Linked DNA regions of Drosophila melanogaster. The protein of the gene in region 3 binds, or shares a complex with, the protein of the main gene of each other region. Each region holds a gene or a part of one and is shown on either strand. Other genes may lie near its edges. The genes, in order: me31B, exu and cup.

What was found.
Region 1: cup (region 3) and me31B share a complex: the UniProt entries of both Drosophila melanogaster proteins name them as parts of the nanos RNP complex.
Region 2: cup (region 3) and exu share a complex: the UniProt entries of both Drosophila melanogaster proteins name them as parts of the osk RNP complex.

Annotation. Positions count from the first base shown.
Region 1 is NT_033779.5:10,235,421-10,245,529, forward strand, and holds me31B (maternal expression at 31B), read left to right. Parts: upstream 1-3,920; 5' UTR 3,921-4,115; coding exon 4,116-4,165; intron 4,166-4,518; exon of another isoform or gene 4,519-4,664; intron 4,665-5,071; coding exon 5,072-5,171; intron 5,172-5,259; coding exon 5,260-5,638; intron 5,639-5,712; coding exon 5,713-6,360; intron 6,361-6,425; coding exon 6,426-6,628; 3' UTR 6,629-6,752; downstream 6,753-10,109. Other genes in the region: mthl15 (methuselah-like 15), read right to left, coding at 65-243, 307-385, 611-866, 955-1,127, 1,507-2,425; chico, read right to left, coding at 7,217-8,738, 8,799-8,967, 9,037-9,125, 9,181-9,433, 9,490-9,683, 9,800-9,931, 9,990-10,109. UniProt on the Drosophila melanogaster protein: ATP-dependent RNA helicase which is a core component of a variety of ribonucleoprotein complexes (RNPs) that play critical roles in translational repression and mRNA decapping during embryogenesis, oogenesis, neurogenesis and neurotransmission.
Region 2 is NT_033778.4:20,666,927-20,677,391, reverse strand, and holds exu (exuperantia), read left to right. Parts: upstream 1-6,630; 5' UTR 6,631-6,754; exon of another isoform or gene 6,755-6,756; intron 6,757-6,900; exon of another isoform or gene 6,901-7,014; 5' UTR 7,015-7,041; coding exon 7,042-7,191; intron 7,192-7,260; coding exon 7,261-7,413; intron 7,414-7,496; coding exon 7,497-8,792; 3' UTR 8,793-8,817; exon of another isoform or gene 8,818-9,040; intron 9,041-9,109; 3' UTR 9,110-9,965; downstream 9,966-10,465. Other genes in the region: galla-1, read right to left, coding at 4,955-5,052, 5,123-5,273, 5,534-5,646, 5,714-6,008; Fem-1, read left to right, coding at 10,198-10,465. UniProt on the Drosophila melanogaster protein: Ensures the proper localization of the mRNA of the bicoid gene to the anterior regions of the oocyte thus playing a fundamental role in the establishment of the polarity of the oocyte. May bind the bcd mRNA.
Region 3 is NT_033779.5:6,660,404-6,669,902, forward strand, and holds the start of cup (cup), read left to right. Parts: upstream 1-3,260; 5' UTR 3,261-3,746; coding exon 3,747-4,184; intron 4,185-4,527; coding exon 4,528-5,388; intron 5,389-5,860; exon of another isoform or gene 5,861-5,947; coding exon of another isoform or gene 5,948-6,605; intron 6,606-6,682; coding exon of another isoform or gene 6,683-6,888; intron 6,889-6,957; coding exon of another isoform or gene 6,958-7,127; intron 7,128-7,267; coding exon of another isoform or gene 7,268-7,286; exon of another isoform or gene 7,287-7,630; intron 7,631-7,938; coding exon 7,939-8,484; intron 8,485-8,542; coding exon 8,543-9,287; intron 9,288-9,360; coding exon 9,361-9,499. Other genes in the region: Ube4A (ubiquitination factor E4A), read left to right, coding at 1-1,296; CG13771 (uncharacterized protein), read right to left, coding at 1,694-2,664, 2,729-2,971, 3,033-3,174; Galt (Galactose-1-phosphate uridylyltransferase), read right to left, coding at 5,948-6,605, 6,683-6,888, 6,958-7,127, 7,268-7,286. UniProt on the Drosophila melanogaster protein: Adapter protein that plays a central role in localization of transcripts in the oocyte and in young embryos. Maintains RNA targets in a repressed state by promoting their deadenylation and protects deadenylated mRNAs from further degradation.

The DNA.
Region 1 (10,109 bases), 3.6 Mb from region 3:
TTAATACAAAAATATACAAATACTTTAATATTTAAATCGTAATTTAATTAGATTTTTAACTTACACGTAAACCAGCAACGACCATGTCCAAAATTTGGACGCACCGCATCCGGTAAAATGTCAGATTTCGTAAAAGCTATGGTTATTCCAGTTAGCAATGTTGGTAGCCCCCAGCCATAACACGAATACCAAATAAACTGCCTTCTCAGGTCGCTCTTTTCGCAGCTTTTAAGCTTTGTTGATCTACAATTAAATAAGTGTAAATTATTGCAAGTTTATCTAAATTTCAAAAGCATTTGTACTTACCCAAATGTTTTCCATATGTCAAAGGAAGTAATGTTCATCCAAGAAAAGGCAGCCATTAAACAGAAGTACACGAAAAAACCTTCAAGATACAAAACAGAAACAGTTTGTTTAGGTTTTAGTTACCAAATTGCACAAGAGAATGAGACAAAATACCCTTAAACAATTAAGTACTTGACGAGTATAACTATGAATGTAATAATAAAAGTGATTGCTATCGATTTCCCGCTTTTATGGTATAATAACTTGTAGGTCTCCTCGTCCCAGCAGGATTAGCAACTAATTACCTAATGGCTGCAATACCCACCAGAAAGAAAACAGATGTCGTCATTCGATGTGGGTCGCAATTGGCCCAGCGCGATTCCAAGATATGCCGCAAACAAGCTGCTAACGAGGCAAATTAGGATTTTGCCGGGCAGGTTTCTCAATTTGGCAATTGAAATGTAGACAATCAGTGTGAGTGCATAGAAGCAGCAGGATATGAGCAGGCCAATGGGATACATCTTGAAGCGAATCCTGTCGCCGGTCACCACCTTATTATCAAAGCACAAAAATGTATACAGCTGCTCTGAAAGGAACGAAGGCAAATAATTAGGATTATACAAGACACTACTGTATAAAATATGTCGATTTAAATAGGAAGGAGTTTACCTTTTGATTGGGTCTGACCCGTTCCACGCAGTACTGAGTATTCGTATAGGTTTTGAATGTGTTATGAATGATAAGCGAGCCATTGGACGGATTTATCGTATGCGAATCGTCTGGAAAATTATCAGGATCCAAGCGAAACTTTGGGCACTGCAAGCCGTGAACAATACCGAAATCTGAAAAGTATTGAATACAATACACTATACAATCTGACCTATGTCAATGAAAAGGCAAATGTGTCATTCACTTGTTGATTAACCAGATAAGAAAATTTGACAAAAATAATTAAAATGACAAAGCTAATGAAAAATGTCAATACTAATGAATGACGTAGATAACTTCAATAGCGAAATTTGCTTGGCACTTGAAACCAATTGTTTATACCACTTATTTGATCAGACAAATGGAAAACATCAAAATCGATTGCTTCCAATTCTTAATAATATTTTTGATCATTAAGTTTACGACTTTAATGGGCGATTACTGCGTTCAATTGCCGCTCGTTTCCTGCTATAAAGACCTATAAAAATAACTGCAAAACTGGTGACGACATACCTGAGGGCTTTGAGAAGTTTGCGTTGATATTTAGGTTCTGAAAACCCTCAAATTTGAAATCGGTTCCATCGATCTTGCAATAGGTACTGAAATTTCCTTTTGCATACATTTCACCTTCGGCACAACAACGACGAATACAGGGTATTTTTTGGCAAATTTTCATTTCCTGACAAGCACGCACCAGAAACTTCTGTTCCGGTAATGCACCTCTATCCAAATCCGCATCGTCGGAGTCGTGAATAGCTTCGATGCAAAACTTGGAGCTGGGCAAACTGTTGGTTCCATCTTTCCAAATCAACGAATTATTATGAAAGTGCACTTTTCCGGAGGACAACGTATATTCCACGAGTGCTCTGTGGTCGGAACAGTTTAGGGTGTTATCAAAAAATATAATTGGACTGCTGATGATGGAAGTATAAACAAAGAAATCGCTTTCGCCCGGTTTGCATGTATTATTTTCGGAAACGTAAATAAATCCCTGTGGGCAGCACTTGTTTACAAATCCAACACTTTGAGACGGCACATTCTTTTCGAATTCACAAGATAAAACGATGAGACGTCTGTTTAATAGTCCAATGCATGAGTTATTTCGCAAATTCAAGGTGCGTTCACCTAAATCACTTATACTCAGACTGCTAAAGTTCTGGCACTTTGATAGTGCGAATTGGCTGTGGCCTGAGTCATTGATAGCCTTTTCTAATCCAAGGCCCATTGGTGGTATCAATTTGCCTATCACTTGGGCAAGATCCGGAAGTTCACTGATGTTGCTTGCGGCGGAAGCGCACTGGTATATTTCCGCATTGTCCACAGTGCGGCGATATTTGAATAGTAACGAATTCGCGGCACAGCATAACTGAACGGCGAGCACTTTTGAAATGCCACTTAAAATCAGGCACACTAAACTTAGTCCGATGTTCATTGTTTACGGCTCGTCTATTATACCCAATGACCGATTTGCGAGCTTGTGTAATGTTTGTATCTTTTCTTAGAACGGACTTTTCATATCTTATCATTGAGGAATCGTTATCGGACCATATACACTTCGAACCGCATGCAGTTGCCGGATTTAACGAACTGAACTGAAGTCTTCGCGATTCCTTCGCGAGCAAATGCGAATGTTTATGGGTAAACATTTGGCCCGCACACAGACGGACATAGCTCGACGTATATAGGCAATACATTTATGGATTCTCGTAAGCCTATACAAATAAGTTATGCCCCATGGAGTGCCTAACACTTAGCATGCTGGGGGTGCTCACGGATGGTATCAATACACCCAAATGGCCGCATATTTATGTAGGTACTTTGTGGTTCTAACACATATCTATCTATCTACACAATTCAATTGATGACTTTGTACACTAGCTTCTGACGGCAAGACAAATGCGACTGCTCGTGTTAACATTGTGCAAAGCTCATTAAGGGGAAATTGATAAGGTACACAGATACACACATCCATACACACTTATGTACAGAGGTGGGTGAGGTAAGCAATGGATCCTTTAATCGTCTAAGTACTCTACGCACCATAAATCACCTGGAAAATGTCAACGATACGCAAGTATTTATCTTTTCAATTAACTTAAGTCTAGTTATTAGCTGACTTTTTTCCATATATTCTTTCATGACACAAACTAAAATCGCAAACATAAATGTCATTTTTATAATATACAAATCTCCTCTATCGCAAGTACTATTTATTTATTCTAATACAAATATATTAATTTTGTCATTCTCCAATCGGAATAAGTATAAATAAAGTATAAATCCATTGGTTAAGAAAAGAAAAATCAAAAAAATAATTTTTATTCATTTTAATGTTATTAGTTAGTTTCTAATGTGATCTTTCATTAAATATTTAATACTTATAAATTATAAATGAAAAGATATTCATAAAAATCGCAGACAATCAAATTAAAGCTTAACTCAGATGTTCTTCTTTCATACACGTTCGAAATCTTCCTGTCGTTCCTAAGTCCCGTTCACACAGGCAGCTGCTTCATCTGAAATGCAGTTCATATATTGTTTTTGTTATAATTAAACGGTGATTTTAACCCGGCCGGAGTGGAGTTGCTCATTGGAAATGCTTTTCTAAATTAATTTAAATTTAAAATAACGGCAACAGCAGCTAACACAACAAAAATGTGAAATATTTGGGTATACATATACACCTACAGGATTTATAAGAGGAAAATTTAAATGCCGATTTTTTTTAAATAAAATAATTCTTGCCTAAATATGTGGACTAATTTTAAAACGTTCATTTGTTTTTGTTAAGCCATGTATAAATTTCTACAATATTATTGTTCGTCATTTTGAACTTGCAAAATTTGTTTCATTCCAACGTTCCAAATCAGGGCAATACATATTTATTATCTACACCGAGTGAAAATATTTTCCGAGTCATCAGAAATTTGTATTATTGATAGCATGTTGTAAGGCGACTCGACTATTTTGAAGCTAAGTGAAATTTTATATTGAAACGCAAAGTTGAATACGTGAGCAGTATATGAAAATCGGTGAATACAGTGACTTCATTAGTCAGCCGAAAGCAAAAGAGAGCGAAATACATTTTTTAAACAAACTAAACTAAAATTTCACTGTGAATAATGATGACTGAAAAGTTAAATTCTGGGCACACTAATTTAACAAGCAAGGGGTTTGTATATTTTATATTTATTTATATTTTTTTTTTCACAAGAGGACCCAAGCTTGGTGTCCCAACAAACATAATATGCATGCGTATTCATCAGCCCATATTTATGATTAGATGCCGAAAAGACAAGCCGTTTTATAGTTTAGAACGTCAATTTTTGCAAATGATTGAGCATGTAAAAGCCGAAGATCTGTATTTTAGCAACATCATGTAGTTAGGCTGTTTTCACTCAACAACTAAACCTGCAGAACATGTTATCTAATGAAAAAAACCAAACAATGTGATTCCCGTATTTATATTACTTTATTGTATGTAGTAGCGGAACATGTGTACATATGTATAAAAGAGTTATCTACATATGTAGTTGCACTCGTGGACTTATTTACCGCTAAAAATGTTGCTAAATATAATTGCACTGACTTAAATCATTTAGAAACTAACACTGTATTTAGGTAAAACTTCTATTGGGTGATTCTCAACTTTTGAGATCAGAACAAAACAGGTATTTTTTTTTTGCATTTCAGCGCCATGAACAGTTATTCGTGGGCTGCCATTTTAAAATTTGGAGTAGCGTTTCTTTTTCTCTCCTCCATAAATGTGCGAAAGAGAAAAAATGTTGAGTTCAATCGCTTTTAGATTGTTCAGTTCTTAAATATTCAAGACATTATCCATCTTTGTTTACGATTTAAAATCAATATTAACATTATTATTAATATACATTAATACATGGCTTAGACTTTAGCTTAAAATGCACTTTACATAAAAGAACTCATTTACAAAATTTTAAAAATCAAAAATTTTTAATATATATATATGCTTATATATGCCATCCATATATATATGGATGTGAATGACCTACATATATCGTAATACTTTAATTACCATTTTATTTTTTTTCTTTTCATCCAGGATTATAAATGATCTTCAAATTGCTGGAAACACAAGTGACGATATGGGCTGGAAATCAAAGCTGAAGCTGCCGCCAAAGGACAACCGATTCAAAACAACTGTGAGTTTGCCGACAAATCAATCGGAATTTATACAATTTAAAGCACAAACAAACTAACAAATAAATGTATTGCCATTGCCTTACTCAGGATGTGACCGATACGCGAGGCAATGAATTCGAGGAGTTTTGCCTTAAAAGAGAACTGCTTATGGGTATATTCGAGAAGGGATGGGAGCGCCCTTCGCCAATTCAGGAAGCAGCTATTCCTATAGCATTAAGTGGAAAAGATGTGCTGGCTCGGGCCAAGAACGGCACAGGCAAGACAGGAGCCTACTGCATCCCAGTTTTAGAACAAATCGACCCAACCAAGGACTACATTCAGGCACTTGTGATGGTCCCCACCCGAGAGTTGGCGCTACAAACCTCACAGATATGTATTGAGCTGGCGAAACATCTTGATATCCGGGTAATGGTCACAACGGGAGGTACCATTCTAAAGGATGACATTCTTCGTATTTATCAAAAAGGTGGGTTTTGATGATAGTTAAATAACCTAATATCGGTTTAATTGCAACTTTCTAAATTTTCCCTACGCCTGCAGTACAATTAATTATTGCCACTCCCGGACGAATATTAGATCTGATGGATAAGAAAGTTGCCGATATGTCGCATTGCAGAATATTAGTTTTGGATGAGGCCGATAAGCTATTGTCGCTTGATTTTCAAGGCATGCTGGATCATGTTATACTAAAGTTACCAAAGGATCCACAGATCTTGCTATTTTCCGCAACATTTCCACTAACAGTCAAGAATTTCATGGAGAAGCATTTACGCGAGCCTTACGAGATCAACCTGATGGAGGAGCTAACACTGAAGGGTGTCACTCAGTACTATGCATTCGTACAGGAGCGCCAGAAAGTACACTGCTTGAATACGCTCTTTTCGAAGCTGCAGATCAATCAGTCTATCATATTCTGCAATTCCACGCAACGTGTCGAGCTATTGGCCAAAAAGATCACAGAGCTTGGATATTGCTGTTACTATATACACGCTAAGATGGCCCAGGCACACAGAAATCGAGTATTCCACGATTTCCGCCAAGGACTCTGTCGCAATCTGGTGTGCTCCGACCTGTTCACCCGTGGTATCGACGTGCAGGCCGTGAATGTAGTAATCAATTTCGATTTCCCACGAATGGCAGAGACATACTTGCATCGAATTGGTCGCTCAGGACGTTTCGGTCATTTGGGTGAGTTTAATTGCATTCTCATATTATAGTTTAGCCTATTTACAATCTTCGTTTCTCATTTTAAGGTATTGCTATTAATCTGATAACCTACGAGGATCGGTTTGATCTGCATCGGATTGAAAAAGAACTTGGAACCGAAATAAAGCCTATTCCGAAGGTCATAGACCCCGCCCTTTATGTCGCAAACGTTGGCGCATCCGTTGGCGATACTTGCAACAACAGTGATCTGAATAATTCTGCGAACGAGGAGGGCAACGTTAGCAAATAAAACGGATATGCCCTGTGTAACGCTAGTATCTGAAATAGAGTCTAAATCGTGGAATCAATAAAAACAGATGAACTATTTCAGAAATCAAAATTGTATTAAATAAATGGAAAGCAATTCAATTTTTAAATGCGCTCTTAAGATAACTGAAATGACTGGTCTATAAAAAAAAGGCTCGTTCACTTTGTGGGTTTTGGTGCTGAGAAGTATTAACATTAACTATTGGGGATTTGGTAAGGAAAGTTAGTCGAATGCTATTAAAAGGCAGGCTAAGGTCGTTTAATATCAATCCAGTTTTTAGTAAAGGGTTTAAATCAAATAAAAGGTCTAAAAGTAATTACAGGATTTTCGGACAAGAGAAGTACACTTGGATCAAGCTAAATCCTAGATTTACTTACATGGAAGAATTACCATTGGCAATTACCCGATTTACTAGATTCCAAAAAAAAAGTACAAAGGGATCATTATAATTTAAATAAAATTTATTTATTAGCATCCAAAATTGTAAGCTTTGCTTGTCAGAATATTTACAATAAATGTACAATATTAAACAAATCATATATATAGGATAGGGTCATAAATTTCAAAACTTTACGTATTAAATATGTTCGATGAGGAGGAAGAGGAGTCGGATTGGTCAAAGTCGATTTTCGCATAGGTATTCCCATCCTCCGGGCATGCGGACACCGGCGGCGATTCGCGTGATCCTCTCTTCAGGTATTTAGCTGGATTTTGGCCACTGCAATGGGGAAGATCTAGGCTGGCGTAGTGCAGCTCCGGCTGGGATATGCGAGACGACGACCTTGAGGGGAAATTCAAATCTTTAATCTGTAGAATGTTCTGTGGTGTACTTGGATCTGTGCCAGTGCTACGCGAATCGGCGGCGGCGGCTGGCTTTGCTGAATTTATATTGAATTTGGTGAGTGAGCTGCTGCTCACCGCGGTGGCGGTGGCATTATCGGGAATCGTATTCACACTCTCTGTAAGTCTCTGCGAACGCTCCAAGTTATCCTTGTGTATACCCTTTTGGTATAGCTTCGATGAGATGAGTGAGCTGTCGCTTTTAATTTGCAGAATTTTGTAGCCGGCTTCGTTAAATTTTGTGAAATCATTCGATTTGTCCTTGATTTGTGTGTAGTCTTCGCTGCTTATCGAATGAACCAACTTCTTTTCCTCATGCCCGCCTATATCCAAATTGTTGTTCTCGACAATCTTGTCGGCCAGATGATTATTTAGCTTATCGCTGCTCTGCGCGCACACTTTCTCGCAATCAATTTGATTTGCTGAATGAACATCATGGCTTTTGCTTGTACTCTCGACATTTGTGGGTTTCGAGCTAAAGGTGTTGTCATTCAATGGCGAGTTCGACTTCTTTTCCTCGCTTCTGCTGGGCTGTTCTCTCCATTTCTCAGCGGATATATTGTATGTGCTAATTTTGTTTAAATCGTGCACTGGTGCGGCTGTTGCGGTGAGTGGCGGTGCTGTCTGATAGTCGGATAGCTTGAGTTTCTCCACTTTCATTGGCAGGCAATTCGAACTGGGAGTGTATCCATTACCGACTGGCTTCATCTCGAGGTAACCATCCTCGGATGTGATCGCAGTGTTATTTAGTTTGGTGCCATTGAAAATGTCCTTTTGACTTGTGGCGTGCAGAGTTAGGCTGGAGCTATCCGTTCGCGGGGCTTTTGGGAACACGTTTTCAATGTATTTCGGAATTTCATTATTCTTGATGAACTTCTGCTTTTCCAAATTGGTTGCTTGTGAAAAATCAATTTCCATTAAGTCACTCATTCGGTCGGAGTTTATCTGGTTCTTCAGACTGAGGAGTGGAGCACTTGTGGACTTCTTTTGTCGATTGGCACTGCTGCCATAGCTGGTTCCTTCCTTGGTAATGCTACTCTGACTCCTATTCGCTGTGAACTCATGTTTATTGTCCTCCACGAGGACCACTCGCTGCAGGTCGCAGCGCGGTATCTTCGATTTGGAGCCAACCGAGTAGGCTCGCACGCGATTCGGATTCTGTCCCGTATCATTCAAGTGTCCCAGGCGCTTATTAAACTTTAAATGCTCAACCTTGTTGCCTATCGAATAGGCGCGAATGGGACGACAGCATCTGTAACAAGATGTGATTGATTGCATTACGTGGCACAGTTGAAGCGAAATGTGTACTCACTGGTTATCAGAGTCCAGATCAAAATCCTTAGCAAGCTTTTCCGACGCGTGCTCCGGAAAGTTGAAATGCAGCGAAGCATCTTCCAATCTCTGCATATCAGCCTTCTCCTTTTCATGGATAGCATCGGTAGGATTGACTGGATTCATCGGTATGTAGTTTTCGTCACTTACTGCAGTTAAACAAAGCCAATTGATTAGCTACTTTTCATGTTAAAAAATTGTTTTTGTGTTTGGCTTACCATTTTGTTCGGTGACTTTGCTAAATAATTCCGCACTGGCAAAGTCATCAATGTTTTCCTCAGGAATTGCCGTCTCCGATGACCGCGTGCTAGAAATTGAAATGGTGATTATTATTAAATAATTATTATTTGATTGCAACGCACTTTAATCTGTAGTGGCTAAAACTGCCGTTGTCGTCGGATTCATCGACACTAATTGATGACTCTTCGGATTCTGAGCATCTTAATGGCATGGTGAACGTTGGACTATTACTATGCTTGTTGGTTGAGTGCGGACGGATGCCAGATATAGTATTGGATCGCAGTCCATGGTTGGAACCAAAGTACGTTTGATTGCTGGACTCGCTTAGGGTTCCATTTCTGGTTGGTAAGCTATCGCATCTCTCTCTGCCGAAACCTGAAACGATTGCGTTTGATTAATTTTGCGTTAAAACATGCATTTGAAGTATTTACCATAGTTATGGGGCGAACTGCAGCTGCGCAATTCGAGAGAGTTTTGACTATTTTGTATGACATTTACGTTTATCGGCTTCGATGCTTCGTTTGCAGACGACGATCGCTTTCTCATGGGCTCGTGACTTAAGTCAGGTCTATTCTGATAAACGTTTATTAAATTCGTGTTCGACTCTGTTTTGGCTGACATAGCGCTGAAAGAAAAAACCCACAGAATTATTAAAGTTAACTGGGAGATATCTTAAACTATCTATGTCGTTTTGTAGGATGTTCATGAAATCTTGGATTAGTTGTAATGAGAGTTAAATACCTCAGTATCGTGTTGTGCATATTAGTAGCAATAGCTGCGTTATCCGTCTCCATCCACAGATCACCAGATCCCAAGACACTTTGGCGGCCAAGTTCCACGTAGAATATACATTGTGGGGATGCATGACCGCATCTGAAATTAAGTCCGAATTATTTTACAATCCCTTGCAGTTTTGCTGGCAACAACTAACCGCCTGATCGTGGTCAAAAGTATTTCAATGCTCGCAACGCGATCCTCGCCATTGGGCGTCTTCTCCGGTCCAATGCACACGAATGTCAGGGATTTTGAAGTAAGGCAACAGTGGTAGGTT
Region 2 (10,465 bases), on a different chromosome or scaffold from region 3:
TATTTTAAAATTTTATTTCAATAATCTAAACATTATTGGGATTAATATGTGAAAGAGAACTATTTGAAAAGCATTTCAAATAGCGAAAGATTGAAGATACGAAACTGATAAGCCGGTTGATTGTAGCGCATTCTGGCACAGATTCGGTTTGCAAGCCACAAACACACTCGTCCTTTGCCTTTTGCTTGGTGTAACCAATTTTATAGAGTGTGTTAGAGTAAAAAATTATACAGAAATATTATGGAAAAACAACAGGACAGCAAAAAAAAAAAAGGAAAAAAAGGGAAAAGGGAGACGATGGCAGCCGCCGCAAAGGCAACAAATTCGAATGAAAAACTTTCTAATGAGTCGGCATTACAATTTCAAATTTGTTGCGCAAATTATTATAAAAGTTTGTGTGTGAGCAGAACAACATAATGAAAGTTATATACGAGCCTGAGGTTGGCATACAAATGCCACAATAATAATTTTCAAACCACCCATCGCCACCCCCAAAAAACCATGGGTGGAGTCATGGAATCCAGGAGTAAATGCAGCAGGAGTAGCCTAGTTTCGTTGTTGTTTTCGGTTTGACTAAAGAACTTGTTACACTTGCAGTCTTGACATTAAATTATTTAATTATTTTATTATAATTACATCTGTATATCTGTATACTCCAGCGCAGCACATGCATGTTTTTGACACATTTATTGAGCGAAAGTTCTTGTTTTTTCTTACGCCTCTTTTGCTGCAAAATTGTTTTAGTGGCATGTGAATATACTTACATACATATATAAATGGGGGCAATACAGGTCAGACTGGCCAAAACACAATTCGCACCTAATTTAGTTTATTATTTCATGATTTCATTTATTTTTCGCCTGCGGTCGGCCGAAAATTGTCCGCCAAAGTGGATTAGAGTCGGTTTTGGGCCGTAAAAGAAATTTAAACTTTTTCGCTCCGCTGTATTTTTTACGATGCGTACAAAAAATTGTTGCATGTTGAATGGTAGTTGATGGGGGGAGGGGGTGTGGTTTTGGGGCTGCTGCGAGTGCTGTTTTGAATATTTAAATCATTTTATTTGCCACGCCACTTAGCGAGCAGCTTTCATCGTCCATGGCTGCAATTCTTTCTGCTTTTCCGAGGGGGGGCCAAAATCAATTATTTAGGCAAAATGTCAGCCAAATCTGTGCTCTGTTGTTTTGTGCTCACTGTTTGTGTCACGTTATGAATTTAGATTAAACAATTTTGCCATCACATCGGATGTGTGCAATAGTGTACCAATGGGAATAGAAATCAGTTCGAAAGTTTTCAAAACTCCAATTACTCAGATATTGCGCTTCGAAAATTTAAATATACCCAATGGAAAAGCGTGTATAAACGGTTTTGTAGTTTCATAAATATTTGTGCCAAAATATAGCATGTTAAATATTTTCGTTACAAGCTTGAATTTGGTTGAACTACAAAAATTGTTTGTGCTTTGTATAGTTTGTTATGCAAAACCACAATGAAATTGTAGGAACCCATAAAGCCTTTAATTAGTTGGGTAACCGGAGTAGAAATGTAATTAAACTATTTGCTTACTTAATTTATGTTCTAATTAGATTGCAAACTTAATGGCGAGAATTGCAAATTCAAGCTTAAATTGTATAATATTAATTTAAGCAAAAAAAAAAGAAAGGGATTTAAATGTGTGCAAAAATCTCTGTTTGCATCTTGAAGATTTAAAAACTAAATGACAGTTTCTCTATAACAAACCCTTCAATGAGTAATTATACGAAACGATTTAAGCTCCATTTCGCCTGAGAACCTAATCGATTTTCGATGGGTGGTTCGAGCTGGACAAACAAACGCTGCATTCCATGGGAGCCAGCAAATGTGAAGCTATTTTAGACAATTATGCTCTGATTACACACGTTTTAGCTGCCATCAGACACCATTCCGAATCCGGCTGCAGAACCATTGTTGTCCATTGCAAGGATAGAAGGGGGAGCAGGTGGAGCAGGAGGTCCTGCACCTTTGTTAATTGCTGTTGCAGGCGTCTTCTGGCCAATGAGCTGGCGGAAGCTCAAATGGCACTTGCCGTGCATTTAACATTAGTTCGTTAGCTCCGGCAAATGGCAAATGGTCAACAGCAAAAGGCCCTTTGCCTGCTTGGAACCAAAGGACGGCGACCTCTTGGCCAGAAGTCAGCACAGTATGGCCAACGAAAATGTCAACTTGAGGCCAAGAAAGGACTCAGACAAAGGCTATATGTATATATGTAGTCGGGAATGGGGATAAATGCATGCGCCAGGTGGGGATGTTGGGCCAAAGGGTGAAGTATAACAAAAGAGCTGAAAATTAAAAAGAGACAAGCAATTAAAATGGCTTACAAGCGCGCGAACAAGGGGGTCCCCTCCTGAACTGCACCTACTCCGGCTCAGACGGAGCTCGGAGCTCAGCCGGTGTCCGGATGGCCGAAAGCAGGAGTCATCTCGCCATCATCCCCGCATGACTGTCCCTGCTTCTGCTGATGCGTAAGTTGTCAGTTGCTGAATGGCCAAGTTCCCCACTCTGACACCACTCCCTTTCCCCCCCCCCTTGCTCCAGCAGACATTTGCGGCAGATTCTGGCTGTGGCAAGGCATTCACCGCTGACCAGGACTTTGCATAATGCGCATACGCCCCGTTGGCCCGTGGGCGGTTTTTCGCCATTGAGTGTTACTTCCGGTTTTAAGGAGCTACAGGCCAACACTACCATGGCCCGAACAATTACAACAATTGGTTGTAACAACGCGCGCAGTAAGCCACCTGAAAAATAAAAACAGGAACTGCAATCCGAAGGGAATCGACTACAAAGTACTCATTAGATGCGTTTTAAAGCTTTGGTTTGGAGCTTCCAAAAGAGTTTTTAGTGTTATTTGCCTAGTTTTAATCATACCTAATTCTGCTAAAATGACTTTTAACTTCCTTTAAACCTGCACTACGGTTTTTAATTCATTTCTTCTGACTCCGATTGTGAATTCCAATCTGAACGGAAAAGACGGCATAACCGCACAGGCTGCAGTGGCTGCAATCCAAGGAGCCGGCGGGCATGAAATGCGTATGTGGGACCCATAATGAAATACATGGCATATGCAGAGACCCGGATCGGGCGAACAATGTGTGAATGCAACTCCACAGCCGGTCGTGGCTCCGGCATCCTCATCCTGTGCACTCCGTCCCGGATGCCCGCCGTCACGATGGCAATCATAATAATGGCATACAATTTAACAGCATTGCGTATCGGAAGGAAATCTCGGTGGCCGCAATCTGTGCCCCTCGTCTTCGGGCCACTGTGACTTGGAGTCGGACTCATTGCATTTGCCTACTTATGTACTCGGGGGTTATGTAACCCGGGGGTTGTGGGAGCAGGGGCGTGGCACTGGGCGGGCACTGCAGGACGGGATTAAATGGGTCACTTTGACCGCTGCACAAATGACAATTGCCGGTCAGCAAATCCTGGGGAATTGCTGCAGTTGTTGGCTCGGCTTAAATGCATATGCATTAACAGAATAAATTATGCATTTTTCGCACATAAAATTCTGTCGCAGTCCAGGCCATCATCTCCCATGACTCCTTCCTGGGCCATTGCCGGTGTGTCAACTGAGTCATTATGGCTGTGTCCCAAGTCTCTGTTCACGTGCTCTTCGGTGGTTATTAAAGGTGTCACTCCAGTAGCTCATATTAAATGGATTCTACTCATTATCTATTCCAAGAATTATGATTATCAACTATTATGTATTAATGTAATCAGTTTAAATATTGGTTTTAAAGTGTTTATTTTATACGGATATCCACATAATATAGATTGATAACAAGTAGCAGACCAGTCTGCCTCCAATTACTGTTCACCTGAAAACCGCGTGGTGGAGCTGGGGGGCACAAGCTTCTCCGATGGCTTCGGTCATGGTCAGGCTGGCGACACGGCTGCTGGAAGGCTGGGAGAAGCTAGTGTCTGCCACTCCTATTCCTTTCGGCCGACGTGTCCAGGCCGAGGTCCGCTTTGATTGCAGTCGCCAATTAGCGTAATATTCGCAATATGCTTTTGTCTGCGCATTCATTTTTATTATTTTTCCCTCGCCTTCTGAGGCACGCGGCACGCCTTAGGGGCACGAAGGGTCTGCTCTGGTCCGGTTTCCATTCCGTGAATATTGGCCAGCGGTGTCATGGCAAAAAGTTCGCAGCGCCAGATGGTTTTAATTGCTGGTGGGGATGTTTTTTGCCTAAGTCTTTGGAAATTAGTTTAAAGCATTTTGAGCGCGATGGCAAGCAACTAATTGATATTGCTTAATATTTATGGCTTGCCACTTTGGTGGGGGGAGCAGTAAGAGCGAAATGAGCGGAAGTGCAGTGCAATTTAACAAATGGAAAACCCCGGAAATGCAAATTGGAGCAGAAACAGCGACAGTCATGGCAACAAAGTGCTCACTGAAACCGGAGAGTTGCAAAGAAATTAGCCGAGTCGAGTTGAGTCGAATGTGTGTCATGCACTCAACTTAACAGCGCCAACGGCAGGTGATTACCCTGCGTTACGCCCCAAACATTCTCTACTCTTCTGAAGCTGATAAATCCGTGTGACGTACACGCCGTCTGGCTGGTGCCCAACATGGCCGGCCCATCGATACGATTGCGATTCAGATTCATTCACCCGCCATGACACCGATGTGCACACGGTTTTCTTGGGCCGAATGTCCGACGGCCATATCGCTTCGGCACAATGTAAACAATGAGAGTTGTTGGGCCCGGGGGACCTTATCAGTAAGCAGCATAGGCGGGAAAATAGATAGGACGTTGAGCAATCGATATTCTGGTGGAATCAAAACGGCCGAGCGATTAACAGATTTTAAGGGCTTTAATGCTAAGCACACACTCCCTGATGCAACTTAATGGTACACTTAATCCTAGACATTCCTCAAAGTATTCCCTATGTACAAAAGATATGGCAAAGAGAGCTACTCCTCATCCTTGATGCAGTTCTCGACCAAATCCCTCAGATTGGGGTTCTCCATGGCCGCAGCGATGCGCTCCTTGTCATTGATTTGCTTGTTAACTGGGGAAACGTAATCATTTTTACTTAGAACACATATGTATGATAATAGTATCTGGTTGGTCCAACTTACTCTCTTCCTCGGTTTGATGCGCTCCCTTCTTGATGTATATGTCTAGCTTTATGTTGTGCGGAAGTCCGCGTTCTACTTTCACGCGTATACAGAGTCCAATAAGCGTGGCCAACGAGCAATGTGGCACTGTGGGGTTAAACTCGATGCGAACCTGAAAGAATTAAGAGACAAATACCATGCATTTCAACTTTTTACTACACAAAAGATTTATGAGGTGTGGATTTAGTATAATACAAGTACTTTAAGCTATGAGATCAATTTTAAAGTCATTTTGAAGCTAAATCGTTAATCCTTTCAAATATTAAGCAACAATAGTGATGAAAGCAAATAAACACACGCGCAGATTTAACTTATGATGAAATGATGATTAGGGCTCAAGCTTATGGCTTATAAAGATATTGAGTAACGTACAACTGAGACATTGGAGCGCGTGGGCGGCATCACAAAGATTCCATCCTCGTAGACAACGTTGAGGTCCTCCAAAGTGCACGGCTTCTCGGGATCGCGAATGCCGCGCAACAGATCTGTGTAACGACAAGAGAAATTACATAACTAGGCCAAAGTGAAAAAGAATGCCATTAAATATCGAACCGTAGATGGTTTCCTGCAGTTCCGTCTGATTCTTGTAGCCCAGTTCATGGAGCAGTGCGTCCTCCCCGAAGGCAATGGCCTCATCATCCATCGACATCTGGCTCGTTTTGCGCACTAACTCGTCGGCGTTCTGGCTGCGTCCGCTGATACTGGCGCTGCTGCTGCCCGTACCGCTTTCACTGCTGCCCGTTCCGCCCGCTCTCCCACTATCGCCGCCGCACGACGACGTCACAGTTGCGACCGAACTGACGCCGCTGTCGGATTCGGAGAGCTTGCGCTTTATGTAGGACAGCATGTTGTGGCACCTGTGCGTGGTGTTATCTCGCCTGGTTTTATCTTTACCGTTGTGTGCTTGGGTGATTACAGCAGCATAATTCGGTCGGCAGGCGATCTATTTGCTTGGTAATTCTTCACTTTTGCGGTGCAAATTGTTGGAAATAAGCGATGGCATCAGCTGATTATTGTTTTTCTGCCGACCAGGGCTGCAGAGTAGGTATAAGTGCTAAGCCGTCTTCGATAAGTCTATCGATAGTGATATCGATACCCTGTCATCTCTGGCGCAACCATTTGAAATTCGTCATCCCTGATCCTCTTATCAGTTCTTGTCTGCGCTTTTGTCCAAATATTTGTTGTTTACCCACCAATTTTGCCGGCTAATAATTGGAAAAAAATTTATTTACAAGCTGAAAGACTATATTTTATTATAGCAGCGGTAAAAATATTCTGCAAAAAGTTTTCACCTGCACAGTGGGCGTTGTGGCAAGATGTGGACGAGTTGCAGCTGTCTAACCCATCGTACTTAAGTCAAAAACCTCGATTAGCAGGCTTTGCATATGTCAAATTCGCGCACTTTTCCTAGGCCGTCGGGTGCATCAGGAAATTATTCATTACGTTTTAGTTAGTCGTACGAATTGTTTCTTATTTGTGAAAGCTCGTCGAACAGAAGCAAATTTCGCTTTAACCTTTTGAAAAATAAAGGAAAAAGTTCGTAAAAAGCGAAAGAGCCCATCGAAACCAACACGAAAAAGGAGTTCAATAAAGGTGAGCCCAAAAGAAAAGTGCTAAAGTGTGGTGAAAGTGAACATACATACATACACATAAAAACATCTGTGTAAAAGATGGCGCCACTGGAAGAAAACCGTTAGTTGTAGCTTTGGGTTTAATAGACTCTTGAAAATTCGTAGCCCGTCACTTCATATCGAAAATCTAGTGAAAGCGGTTCGCGTTTTGCAAAGGAAATCGGTTCCTTAAAAAAAAAAAATTCTAGTGACTCAGCTAATTTCGTTATCCGAATTTTCTAGATTGCTTTTCGCAGATCATATAAGAAAATGGTTGCCGATAACATCGATGCCGGAGTGGCCATTGCCGTCGCCGATCAATCCTCGTCGCCCGTGGGCGATAAAGTTGAGCTGCCGGCCGGTAATTATATCCTGGTGGGCGTGGATATCGACACCACTGGACGTCGTCTAATGGATGAGGTAATACCCCCTGACTGCCGTTAGATCGTTCGTCGTTCGGTCCTAACCCCACTTGCGATAAACCCACAGATTGTCCAGCTGGCCGCTTATACACCCACCGACCACTTCGAGCAGTACATCATGCCATATATGAATCTGAATCCAGCTGCTCGCCAGCGTCATCAAGTTCGTGTTATTTCGATTGGCTTTTATCGTATGCTGAAGTCGATGCAGACTTATAAGGTGAGTCCAGTGCAGTCCAGTCCATTTAATAGTGGCAGTCAAGTATTGAAGCATCCACAATTCAACATACAATATCCTCTCAGATCATTAAATCCAAGTCTGAGATCGCTGCCCTCAAGGACTTCCTCAACTGGCTTGAGCAACTGAAGACCAAGGCGGGTCCCAGCTCGGACGGGATTGTGCTTATCTATCATGAAGAGCGCAAGTTCATTCCCTACATGATCCTGGAGTCGTTGAAGAAGTACGGCCTGTTGGAGCGCTTCACCGCGTCGGTGAAGTCGTTTGCAAACAGCATCAATCTGGCCAAGGCTTCCATTGGCGATGCCAACATAAAGAACTACAGTCTGCGAAAGCTTTCCAAGATCTTGTCCACGACCAAGGAGGAAGACGCGGCTTGCTCTGCGTCCACATCTGGATCTGGATCTGGCTTGGGATCTGGATCTAGTATGGTGTCCGATTCGGTATCGATATCCCCCAGGGACAGTACCGTGACCAATGGTGACGATAAGCAATCTAGCAAGAACGCCGTTCAGGGTAAGCGGGAACTGTTTGATGGCAATGCCAGTGTTCGTGCCAAATTGGCCTTTGATGTGGCCCTTCAGCTGAGCAACTCCGACGGCAAGCCGGAACCAAAAAGCTCGGAGGCATTGGAGAATATGTTTAATGCCATACGTCCGTTTGCCAAGTTGGTGGTGTCCGATGTCCTGGAGCTGGATATCCAGATCGAAAATTTGGAGCGTCAAAACTCCTTCCGTCCGGTGTTCCTGAACTACTTCAAGACCACTCTGTACCATCGTGTGCGTGCCGTAAAGTTCCGCATTGTGCTGGCCGAGAATGGGTTCGATTTGAACACGCTAAGTGCCATCTGGGCAGAGAAAAACATCGAGGGCCTGGACATAGCCCTGCAGTCAATTGGCCGGCTAAAGAGCAAGGACAAGGCGGAGCTGCTCGAGCTTCTGGACAGCTATTTCGATCCCAAGAAGACCACGGTGAAGCCGGTTGTCAAGGGTAACAGCAACAATAATAACAATTATCGTCGTCGCAATCGACGCGGCGGCCGCCAATCGGTGAAGGACGCTAGGCCATCCAGCTCCCCATCGGCTAGCACCGAGTTTGGAGCAGGAGGTGACAAGTCGCGCAGCGTTTCCTCGTTGCCCGACTCTACTACCAAGACTCCCTCGCCAAACAAGCCGCGTATGCACCGTAAGCGCAACTCGCGTCAAAGCTTGGGTGCAACCCCCAATGGACTCAAGGTTGCTGCTGAAATATCCTCCTCAGGCGTGTCTGAGCTCAACAATAGCGCTCCACCTGCCGTAACCATAAGCCCAGTCGTGGCACAACCCTCACCGACACCGGTGGCCATCACGGCCTCCAACTAAAATCCAGTTCTGGTGGATCCGTAAAGTAAATATCTTATATTGAGATACTTCTGCCATTTGCTTTGTAGATAACGTAGTTAACGAGGGGTAAGCCTTCATGTAGATTGTTGATTAATTTTATGAATTGCGTACACTTGCTTGTATTTTTAATGAATTTTATGCATCAAATATATTGATAAAAATGTAGCCTTTTTTAGCTAAATGTAAAAGGTTTTATTACATATTTTCAATATAAACTCACAACGCTTAAGCTAATCATTCAAATCACTTTGGGATTTTCGGGATTGAGTTTCCTAACCGACATTTTGCCATTTCAGTATATCAAAAAATGGATGATCAAAACACAAGAAGACAAGGGCAGAGAATGGAGATTTAAACCACATACGAACTTTCTTCCTTTTAGAAGATCTAGTGCAGACAAGCTTTAAATTCCAGTGGAAGCAAATTTCCCGTGAACACAACAAACACATCCGCGCACAACTCACGAGCACGTTGGTGTATCGATAGTGTGAGTAAACCGTGACTGTGACGTAAACAGTGACTGTTGAATAGTGATGACACAAGCTTCAAGCGACATTTTTGAAACGAGTGAATTGTTAATCGAGACGTTTGAAAACTATATTGTCCAGCATAGGGAGGATGCTGAGCCCACTGTAAACTCAAGAGACTATATATCCACACTTTAAAGCAGCGTATGCTAGAAATAATGATGGAGAAGAAGGAACAACAAATATGATGTACAATTAAGAACTCGCTGCGTTTAGGCATAGTTTTCCCGGCGAACCGATGCACATCGCCGCACTCAAATGGGAGATTGGGAAAATATGATCCAAAACGAAACGCCTCGATGAAAATTTTCCATTGGACGGGCCTGTCGACGCACACTATCAAAACTCTATGAATAAAACCCAAGATCCAGGCCTGGTCCAATGTAGAAAACTTTCACATTGAAGCTAAAGAAAGCACGATATAAAAATACACCAATCTAATACAGTTAACCTTACGCACGCACACGCACGCACACAGAAAGCATATTCAATTCGCACACTTAATCTAACCCAACACTTGTGAACATATCCAGTATTTCAAGCTGTATTTCATATATGTTTCATATTTACAATCAACAAACATATGTAATATCTGCAAAGGGCGCGAATAAACGAACGATAAACTAACGAATCAACAAACATATGTAATATCTGCAAAGGGCGCGAATAAACGAACGATAAACTAACGGTCAGCCTATCGCGCCGAGTCACTGTTTTCACTCTCGCAGGTGCACCGCTAGGTGTGACCGTATTGCCGCCTGGCCTGGAAAGAGTGGGCCTGTGTGGATTGCTTCCATACCCATACCTGGTGATCAGTGATCACCGATCAGTGCAGCATCGTCCATTTCCCGGCCAGAATGGACGTCGATCCCGCAGAAGAGGCGCCTCTAGACGAGGCACATACGTCCATATACGACGGCTATCCGCCCGATTTCGGCTACTTCAACATGGCCCACGGAATGCTGGTGGAGATCTCCGAGGAGATCCGGGCCAAGTTTCCCCACGAGCCGCGTCTACGTTTCTCCCAGCTAAACAACCTTCACCTAGCGGCCCGCAGTGGTCAGATGTTGAGCTTCGTCGAGATCTTGAATTCGGTTAGCTGCAGGGCGGTGCAGACCCACCTGG
Region 3 (9,499 bases):
ATCTCGGCATTTTTGAATGCGGCCCGGAAACTAAACGGCGAACAATACATCAATATATATTTCTCTGCCCATGATGCCTTTTTCAAGATGATAATTCTATTCATGGGCAGCTCAGCGCTGGTCAAGAATCCTCACCTTCGGGCCAAACTGGCTGAAGCATTGGAATTTCTCTTGCCCTCACGGATTATGGGAAGCCATCGCAAGACTTTTGTCAGCCATGTCTTCGACAACCATCCGGATCGGTTGAAGGTGGTGCGCAGCCTGTTGAACGTTTTCGTAAGCATTGAGATGACTGGACAGTCAGTGCAATTCGAACAAAAATTCAACTATCGCCGGCCCATGTACGCTATAATGGAGTTCCTGTGGACCAAACCCGAGCACGTTCAGTGCTTTCGTGACCTGGCAGTCGAAGCGGAGCAGAATATGGATGCCATTGAGCCGCCCATATTTCTGCGCTTCATTAATCTGCTTATCAATGATGCCATCTTTCTGTTGGACGAGTCGTTGTCCAATCTGGAGCAGATCAAACAGCTTCAGCAGGCGCAGGACAATGGTGAGTGGGAAAGCCTACCGCACACTGAGCGTGAGCAGCACATGACGAACCTCCAGCACCTGGGCATGCTAGCTCGATTTGACAACATTATCGGTAGGGACACCATAAATCTCCTCAAGCTGCTCACCTCGAAAATCAAAAGCATTTTCTGCCACAACAGCATGGTCGATCGCATGGCAGCCATGCTGAATTATTTTCTGCTGAATTTGGTTGGCCCAAAGAAGGAGCGCTTCAAGGTAAAGGACAAGAAGGAGTTCGAATTCGATCCGGCTCAGACGGTGATCGAGATCTCTCACATCTACATCAACCTAAGCTCCGATGAGAGCTTCTGTTTGGCCGTATCGCAGGATGGACGTTCATACAGCGAACAGCTCTTCAGCTATGCCGAGAACATCCTGATCCGAATCGGAGGCGGCCAACTTATAGGCGACATGTCCGAGTTTGCTGTGAAGGTAGCGCGTATGGGTGCTCAATACAAGGAGGAGCAGGAGCTGCTGGCTGATGCGCCGGAAGAGTACCTCGATCCGATTATCTCAACGCTTATGACCGACCCTGTGGTGCTGCCCAGCTCCAAGGTAACAGTGGATCGTTCCACCATCGCCCGTCATCTTCTGAGCGATCAGACCGATCCCTTTAACCGCGAACCGCTCACCATGGATAAGGTCAAGTCCAACGAGGCTCTGAAGCAGGAAATTGAGAGCTGGATTCAGGGCAAGCGGGAGGCGGCCCGCTCGAACAGTTGAGGTAGCAGCGAACCCGCAGCTGCTGGCTCAGTTGCCCAACCAAAGAGTTAGCTCCACGGGGATTCGGTTGTTAGGGCAATAATCAATGTTTTTTTGTTCATAAGAATTCCAGTCATACATGGTGGTATGTGTATGTGCAGTTTTATAATTAGTGGTTTTTAAAATGTATTCTTAATCCATTTTTTCCTGTCAACCGAATTAATTAACAAACAATGTGTACGAATAACATGCAAAGGATAAATTATTGTAGTCATATTTGGTTTTGTGTTCACAATATGTTTACATATATGTTTAAATAAACGGCGTTTCGCTGAAAAAATGTGTATATTCAATTAATTCATCAAATGAAAATATCTATAATGCAAATCGACAGCATATGTTTTATTAAATCCAATCTCTAATTGTCTTTTTTCGCTCCATTGGTTTCTACGGCAGATCCATTGTCCATGTCGTGACTTACTGATTCACGGAATCGATTGAAGTAGCGACGACCAGTTAGGTACCACAGCGCCTCGTGATAGCTTCTGGGAAGGATCTCCGGAACTGCTTTGCTGCAGGAGTAGGTCAGGTGCAGCACATTGCACTTAAGCTCCGTAAAGCTATTGCCATCGATTGCATTCACCACCGTCAGCAGCTGAATGTAGTTTTCGTGGGTGAAAACCACGTACGCCTTCAGTTTTATATAGCTATGGACGGGAATGGAATGGGCGAACGTAACGTCCGCAATGAAGCGGATCATGCAACGCTGGTTGGAGTAGAGGGAGGCTGTCATGTAGCTAATCTCGATAGCCTTGCGGATGATGAACCCTCCGAAAATGGTGTTCGATTCGTTTCGGTTCTCCGGGAACGGATGCATCAGGGTTCTGCGGCGCCACGTGGACATCCAGCGGGAATTCGGTGGTAGAGTAGTCATATCACTCGGCGAAGGTCCGTCATCGCCCTTGGTTCGGGTAAATAGCTCGTACATGAGCTGCTGTTCCTCCTTGGTGGGCTGCTGCGACTCCAGGCGATACAACGCTTTGGCACGCTCCTGGTGCCGCTTCTGCGCTTCCTGGTGTAAACTTTCTTCCAGCTCATTGGCCGGCACCAGAGGATTGACAGGAGCAGGGCCATTATTGATGGCATCGCGAGCCTCTACCACAAAAATGCCCTTTGCCAGCAACATTCCGCTTTGTCGCACATATGCCGTGACCTCCATGAAGTTATTGTCCGTATATGAAACGTGACCGGAGAGGGACACATCTGCATCCGCAATAAACTTGTCTTGCAAGAAGTGGGCGTGGTCCACCAGCATGGTGATAAAAGTGTATGGCAGCGGCACACCCTCCGGCAGATTGGGCAGATGGATGTGAAGATGGCAGATCCACACTGCAAGGCCACTCTCATTAATCAGGTATTTGGAGTAGTTAGTTAGTATACTTTACTTACTTACCTGCAAGAAGGTCAAGTTCCTCAATTATCCTGCCCATGCGAAGCAAGCCTCGCCCGTAAACGAATCGTTGCCTCAACAGAGCATCTGTTTCCAGGAGCACCTGGGCAGTCGTTTGTGAGTCCAGCATGGAGCGATTGGGCAGTTCGTCTTGCTTCGGCTGAAACTTGAGCAGTCCATCCCGGCTCTTGGGAATGATGTGGTAGCCTCCTTCCACGCCGACGTGCTCACGGATTTTCTTCGCCACTGTGCTTGGTATTGGGAGTTGGATAAGTGGACGATAATGTGGAGGTTTACCCGCGGTTACCATCTGCCATCGTGCCCGAGCGGTGCCCCGAATCCAGCAGCTCCCTCCCGGATTCCATGAACGAGTGACGAATTGCACCCAGTTGGTGCCACGGGTGTCGCACGGCGATCACCCTTCTGCCAAAGTGCTGGCTCAAATTCATTTAAATTTTGGGTTTGTGTGCTCCGCTATATTCATATGTATAGTTGTCAAATAATAAGATACAGTACGTTAAAATCGTTTGCACTTAATTTTTTAAATTTGTAACAGAATAACGGCTTTTATGTAATCGAAATCTTAAGAATCACAAGTACTAGTTTCCAAAGTTATCACGTTCCAGGCTTAGCTACTTTCTGTTGTCAAAAGTAAATGTCGTAGCGCATTATTAATAAATTCGCTGTTTTGTTTAGGAATCAAAGAATTAACTATTTGAAAGCTGTATAAGTCGCAGATCAGTGTTTGTCAACACTGGTCAATCCATCCTCCATCTTCCACCATTCGCTTTCGGTATTTTTTCCTATTCCTGTCCTGCTTACTCATCGTAGCAGCGCCGAATAACGGATCCTAAGATCGAACGAACCTGTGCTAAACGTGATTTCGTTCAATTTCTCATACATTTCAATATATTTGACCCGATCAAAAGTACTCGTTTTAAGTTTTAACCAAAAAAAAAACCAACAATTAGTGAGTATGGACCCTATGAAAGAGGAGGCGATCGAATTGAATGGCCATGCTATGCAAATGGCCGAAGCTGAGCAAGAAAATGGCGCTGGCGCCCTGAAAATTGCCACCAATGCGGGTGCAACCGATCGTCCAGCGCATCAGCAGCTTCCGCTGCCAGTCGAAGATCAGCAGGATGAGGTGCTGACCCCCGCTGAGAAGGGCAAGTTCGAGTACCCGCCCCCTCCACCGCCACCAACTCCAGTCCAGGCTCCGCTAGCCACCAAGGCCACCGCTCTGAATGCCAGTCAAGAGCATGACGACGACGAGGCCAACTCCGAGAAGTGGGAGGATCCGTGCGCTCCGCCCCCGCCTCCTCCGCTGCCGACTAGCGCTTTCCTGGCCACCGGACTGGGCTACCTCAAGCTGCCCGCCTTCAAGCTGAAGGACGCACTGGAGAAGGCCATCACCAAGTTGGAGGCCAACAAGCGGACGCTAAAGGCCAGCCCTGAGGTGAGTTCATTACATATAACATTTTTAATTTTATTATTAGCAGTGCACACTGTTGTCAGATTATATATTTATATTGAAATACATTTTAAATTTAACTTTTCTTGAGTCAAACTTGATATTAGTCTAAAATCTTCGCAATATTTATTGGCCAACAAAGCACAGTATTAAACACGTAAATGGTATTAGGAATCAGAGCAGCTCTGATACAAATGTCGTTAAAAATTTAGTTAAAGAAACTTTGACTTGGCATTCATATATTCGACACTTATTTTACATCGAGTACAGACAGGCACTCTCATATATCATGAAGTTTTTTCAATGTTGTTTTTATTTTGGCAAACAGTCTTCTCGTTCCATCAAAAACAAGAATGTGGTGGCCCTGGAGATGTTACCCAGGCGCTCAAACCCAGAAACGATCGGCGATGGATCCATGTTGGCATCCACATCCACGGCTGTTATGCTGCAGACCAAAAAGCCCGCCGTTATTGTGGAGATGGAGAGGCGTTGTAAGATCATCAATTTACTGGCCAAACAGAATCAAATCCTCGAATCCATTTCGGGGGAGGCCATTCCGATGCATGGACCCTCGAAGCATCTGCACGAGGACGAGGGTCTGACCCTGCAAGTTCTCTCGGCCCGAGCATCCACACCGTACACACAGCCCTCCAGCATGTTGTCCTGCACGGCCGTTAGTTGTGACCTGGAGCACGATTCGCCGCGGAAGCAAGTGGCCAGCAAGGAGGCCGTGCCGGAGCAGCAGTCTAGTCAGGTGCAGCAAAAGCGTCCACCCAGCACAGGCATTCACAAGCCAGGAAGTCTGCGAGCACCCAAGGCTGTTCGTCCTACTACTGCTCCGGTGGTCAGCAGCAAGCCGGTCAAGAGCTATACCCGCTCCCGCCTGATGGACATTCGCAACGGGATGTTCAATGCCCTGATGCACAGGTCCAAGGAGAGCTTTGTGATGCCTCGCATCGCCACCTGCGACGACATTGAGTTGGAGGGAAGGCTTCGCCGCATGAATATTTGGCGCACCTCGGACGGCACAAGATTCCGGACCCGCTCCACCACAGCTAACTTAAACATGAACAACAACAACAACAATGAGTGCATGCCTGCCTTCTTCAAAAACAAAAATAAGCCGAACCTAATCAGTGACGAGTCCATCATCCAGAGCCAACCGCCCCAGCCGCAAACGGAGTTCCAAGTAAGCTAGTTAAACTTATACTATTCTACTCAATTTTGCCATATATTCTATATAAAATAGACTTGGTTAGCTTAATGGAAAACTTATGATTTGAAAAGGAAAAAGTGATTGTGACAGTGCGGTAATTGTTACAGTTACACATGGCGTCGATTCATTTGAGTACCTCGACCATCTGATACCCCTTCCTTTGTAGGCCAAATTGTCTTTTTGGTCTGCTCAGAAAAGCTCTTTTATGAAAAATCATATTTCCCGCCTTTTCTGCTTAGAAAAAATCGCTTAATCGATTAAGAACATTTTCCCCACTTTTGCATTAGGTAACACAAAGTCGCATTATTCCTGAGCTTATCTGATAAATCAATGATTGCATTGCATGACCTCCAGAGGTCTTTGGCAATCATGCTGATCATTGGCTGGACCCTCGCCACAGTCAAATCACTAATCTAGAACATTTTACAACTGATTGCGAATAAGTATGAAGTAATTACTACAGTCGTATTAGACTATTTCCTTTTATTGAATTCTAAACCATCTGGGATTCTACAAATACCCTCGAGCGAAATCACTTCTCTAGATAATGACACTTTCCATCGACCTCCCGCAACCTTTGGGCTGCCTGTTCGGGAGTCAGATCCCGCTGGGCCATGGCCAGCAGCTCAAATCCCACCATGAACTTGCGCACGGAGGCAGAACGAAGCAGCGGCGGATAGTAGATGGCGTGCAGGGTCCAATGAGCACTGGATGCGTGGGCATGCTCCGGCCCAGTCGGTGCTCCATGCCAACCCATCGAGTAGGGGAATGAACACTGGAACAGATTGTCATACTTGGTGGTCAGCTCCTTTATGGTCAGCGCCAAGTTGTATCGCTGTTCTGCGGTAAGATCATTGATCCGCTTATTGTTGTTGCGTGAGATGAGCATGGTTTCGAAGGGCCAAGTGGCCCAGAAGGGCACCACCACCAACCAGTCGCGATTCTCAATGACAATCCGCTCCTGGCGCTGCAGCTCACGCTCCACATAGTCGGCCAGCATGGGCCGCTCGTTGGTGGCGTAGTAGGCACGCAGACGCTCCTGCTTCAGTTGCGGTTCCGTCGGCAGAAACGAGCATGACCAGATCTGGCAGTGCGGATGGGGATTGGAACACCCCATGGCGGCTCCCTTGTTCTCGAATATCTGCACCCACGCGTACTTGGCGCTAAGCTCGTTGAACTGGCTGATCCACCTAGATAGGCAGTTAGATAAAAAGTGGGTTTATTATTTTGAGTATCTTCTGATATAAACCATAAATCCTCCACTTACTCGTCGATAACAACGACGATTTCCGCTGCACTCATCGTGGGCAAAGTCAGATTCGATTTGGGATGGAAGCACATCACTCGGCAGTTGCCACGGGCGGGAGCTATCTGGAACAGTGGATCATCGTTGTTGGGCGGAACGGGCACCACCTCCACCAGGGCCGGGAAGTCGTTCTCAAACACATAGGTGCTCTCATATTCCGGAGTTTGCTGATCATTTACAAAATATACACGTGAGAATGCTTAAAACATTTGCGAGGATTTAGTTTGGTCGCTTACGATTCCATTGGGTCTGGTGACGCCAGGGCACAGAGGATTGGTGGGATCGAATTCGGGCAGCTCGTTCTTCTGCGCCTTCTCCTGCTGACCCGACCAAGGGCGTTGGGTGCGATGTGGGCACACTAGGACCCATTGGCCGTTCAACGGATTTAGACGTCGGTGCGGGTGCTCTGCAATGACATTCGATTTTAATTAAGATTGAGCAGCGATAAACCAGACCATTGATTTGGAACTAATTGTTGATCAACATATGACCATTCGCCATAGAAACTGAATCAAATTGGCATGGTGGAACTTCTTTTAAACCTACCACTGGCCACAAACTGCATCGTGTCGAAAGACTGGCGCTCCGTATCACTCCGATCGGATTATGACTACTTCAGATTCACGGGACAAGCCCAATGTCAACCTGCCGCGTTGCGATTACAGCTCCTAATGCTGCTGATATTGGTGTTCCGATTGTGATTCTGCTTTTGCTTCTGAATCCGATTCCAGTTGAGCTGTTTTTCGCTTAGCAAAGCGCGCTTCTTCAGCTACATTCCTCTCTTTTCTCTCTTCGGATTATTCCGCTCACTCTGCCGGCGAGCGTTTAGTTTGAGTTTGGCACGCATTCCGCCTTTCAGTGGAAGAATTTTCCATCAGCCTTATCTCTCCCACTCAGCTGGGCGTTCTGATATGGGTGTGTAAACAGTGTGAGCGCGATTGTGTGTGCCGCTAGTGATGCGCGGTGGTCGATAAGACGTCCATAGAGATGGCTGTTTAATGTTTAAATAAGTATAGTTATATTTATATTTTATGCAGTATCTGTTTGCCTAATTATTGTGATTGGAACAAACTGTTTCCTAAAGTCTATTCAGCTATATTGCAATCACTGTAATCTAATTTCTTTAAAACTTATTAGCTAAGTAAGAGGTATATGATAGCCGAGAGAATTTTAAAGTTTTATGGAAAAATCTACAGATATTCGAATAATTATTTCAGGATCCGGCCATTGTTAACCAAAGACGCATTGGCAGCGGTCGCTTAAACCATTCCAAGTGGGGTTACAACGACGAAGACTACCACTCGTACCACAATGGCAAGTCGCAGCATATGGAGGAGGTCAACTCGAAGAACAGCAAAAACATGACGGTGCTGCAGTTCTTCGACAACGGCGAGATCAGCAGTCAGCCTCAAAGACGGCCGAACACTCCTGTGATGGGGATGTCTATCAATCGATCCGAGAACGACACCCTGCACTCGAACGAGTCCAGTGAAGATTTGAGTCGCGCCAACGAGAACTATGTAAAGCGCGTAATGTCTGGATTCCTGGTTGTATCGAAGCCCAAGTCACGAGATGTCGAGGATAGACATCACCGGCGGTACAGGAACCAGAACGAGGAGCCTGAGTGGTTTAGCTGTGGACCCACGTCTAGACTGGACACTATAGAGTTGTGTGGGTTCGATGAGGACGAGGAGAAAATGCTAAAGGAGGGCAACAAAAACCACGGATTAGGCGAAACAGAGCGAGAAACGTCAAAACAAAAGGTTAGTATTATGCACTTAGTTCAATCCATGACGCAATCTATAAGATAACTCGTTTCAGATGGACCATAAGTACAAATGGACGCATGCGGAGCCGATGGGTCGAAGCAAATACATGCCCAAACACGACACTAACAATAATCATAACGTGGAGAACATGAATAATGTTATGGCTACCGAGCATCAGCAACAAAAGGAAGAGAAACGCCCAGGCAGTGGCCGTTCGTTTCAGTTTGATAAGTTCAATCAAAGCCAACAGAATTACGAGAGTAGCAGTTATGTTAATCACCAACAGCCGCCGCAAACGCAGCCTCAGCAAATGCAGCAGCAGTCGAACACAAACACGAACAACTCTAAATTCATGTCATTCTTTGCCAATGAGGGGAACTCCTCGTCTTCTTCGCTGAACGAGTTTTTCAAGCAGGCCATTAACCAGGGTCATGGCAACAATCCGGAGCAGCCCAAATCGTTGGGCCACATCGGACAGATGCCTTCGGTGGATCAGCTGGAGGCCAAATGGCGTCGAAACTCACTGAACAATGTTGGCGAGACTGCCAACAAGCAGACTGATAACTTCCAGAAGCTAATTGGGTCTCTTTCTTCGGCTAAGCCACAGTCACAGGCGGTTGGCTATGATGCCATCTCCAACTTTATAATGCAGCAACAGCAGTACCAGCAGCAGCAACAGAAGCAGCACCTCATCATACAGCAGCAGCAGCAACATACCGCCTTTTTGGCGAGCCTGCAGCTGAAGGCGATCCTCGGCCGGGCCGACACCCAATTGCTACTGCTCCGTCTGACTAAAGGTGACGATTGGATGATGAAAACAAAGTTAGTTCCATGTTTTCAATATGATTCTTTGGTTTGTTTACTTCCCAGGGGAAATATCCAAGCACGGATTGCTGGTGCAGTTGGCCAACCCACGCTTGACGGACATGGATCGCGAGGCCATCACTGCTGTATTGCAGTTCACCAACACCCAGCAGCAGCAGCAGCAGCACAAGCAGCAGCTGGACAT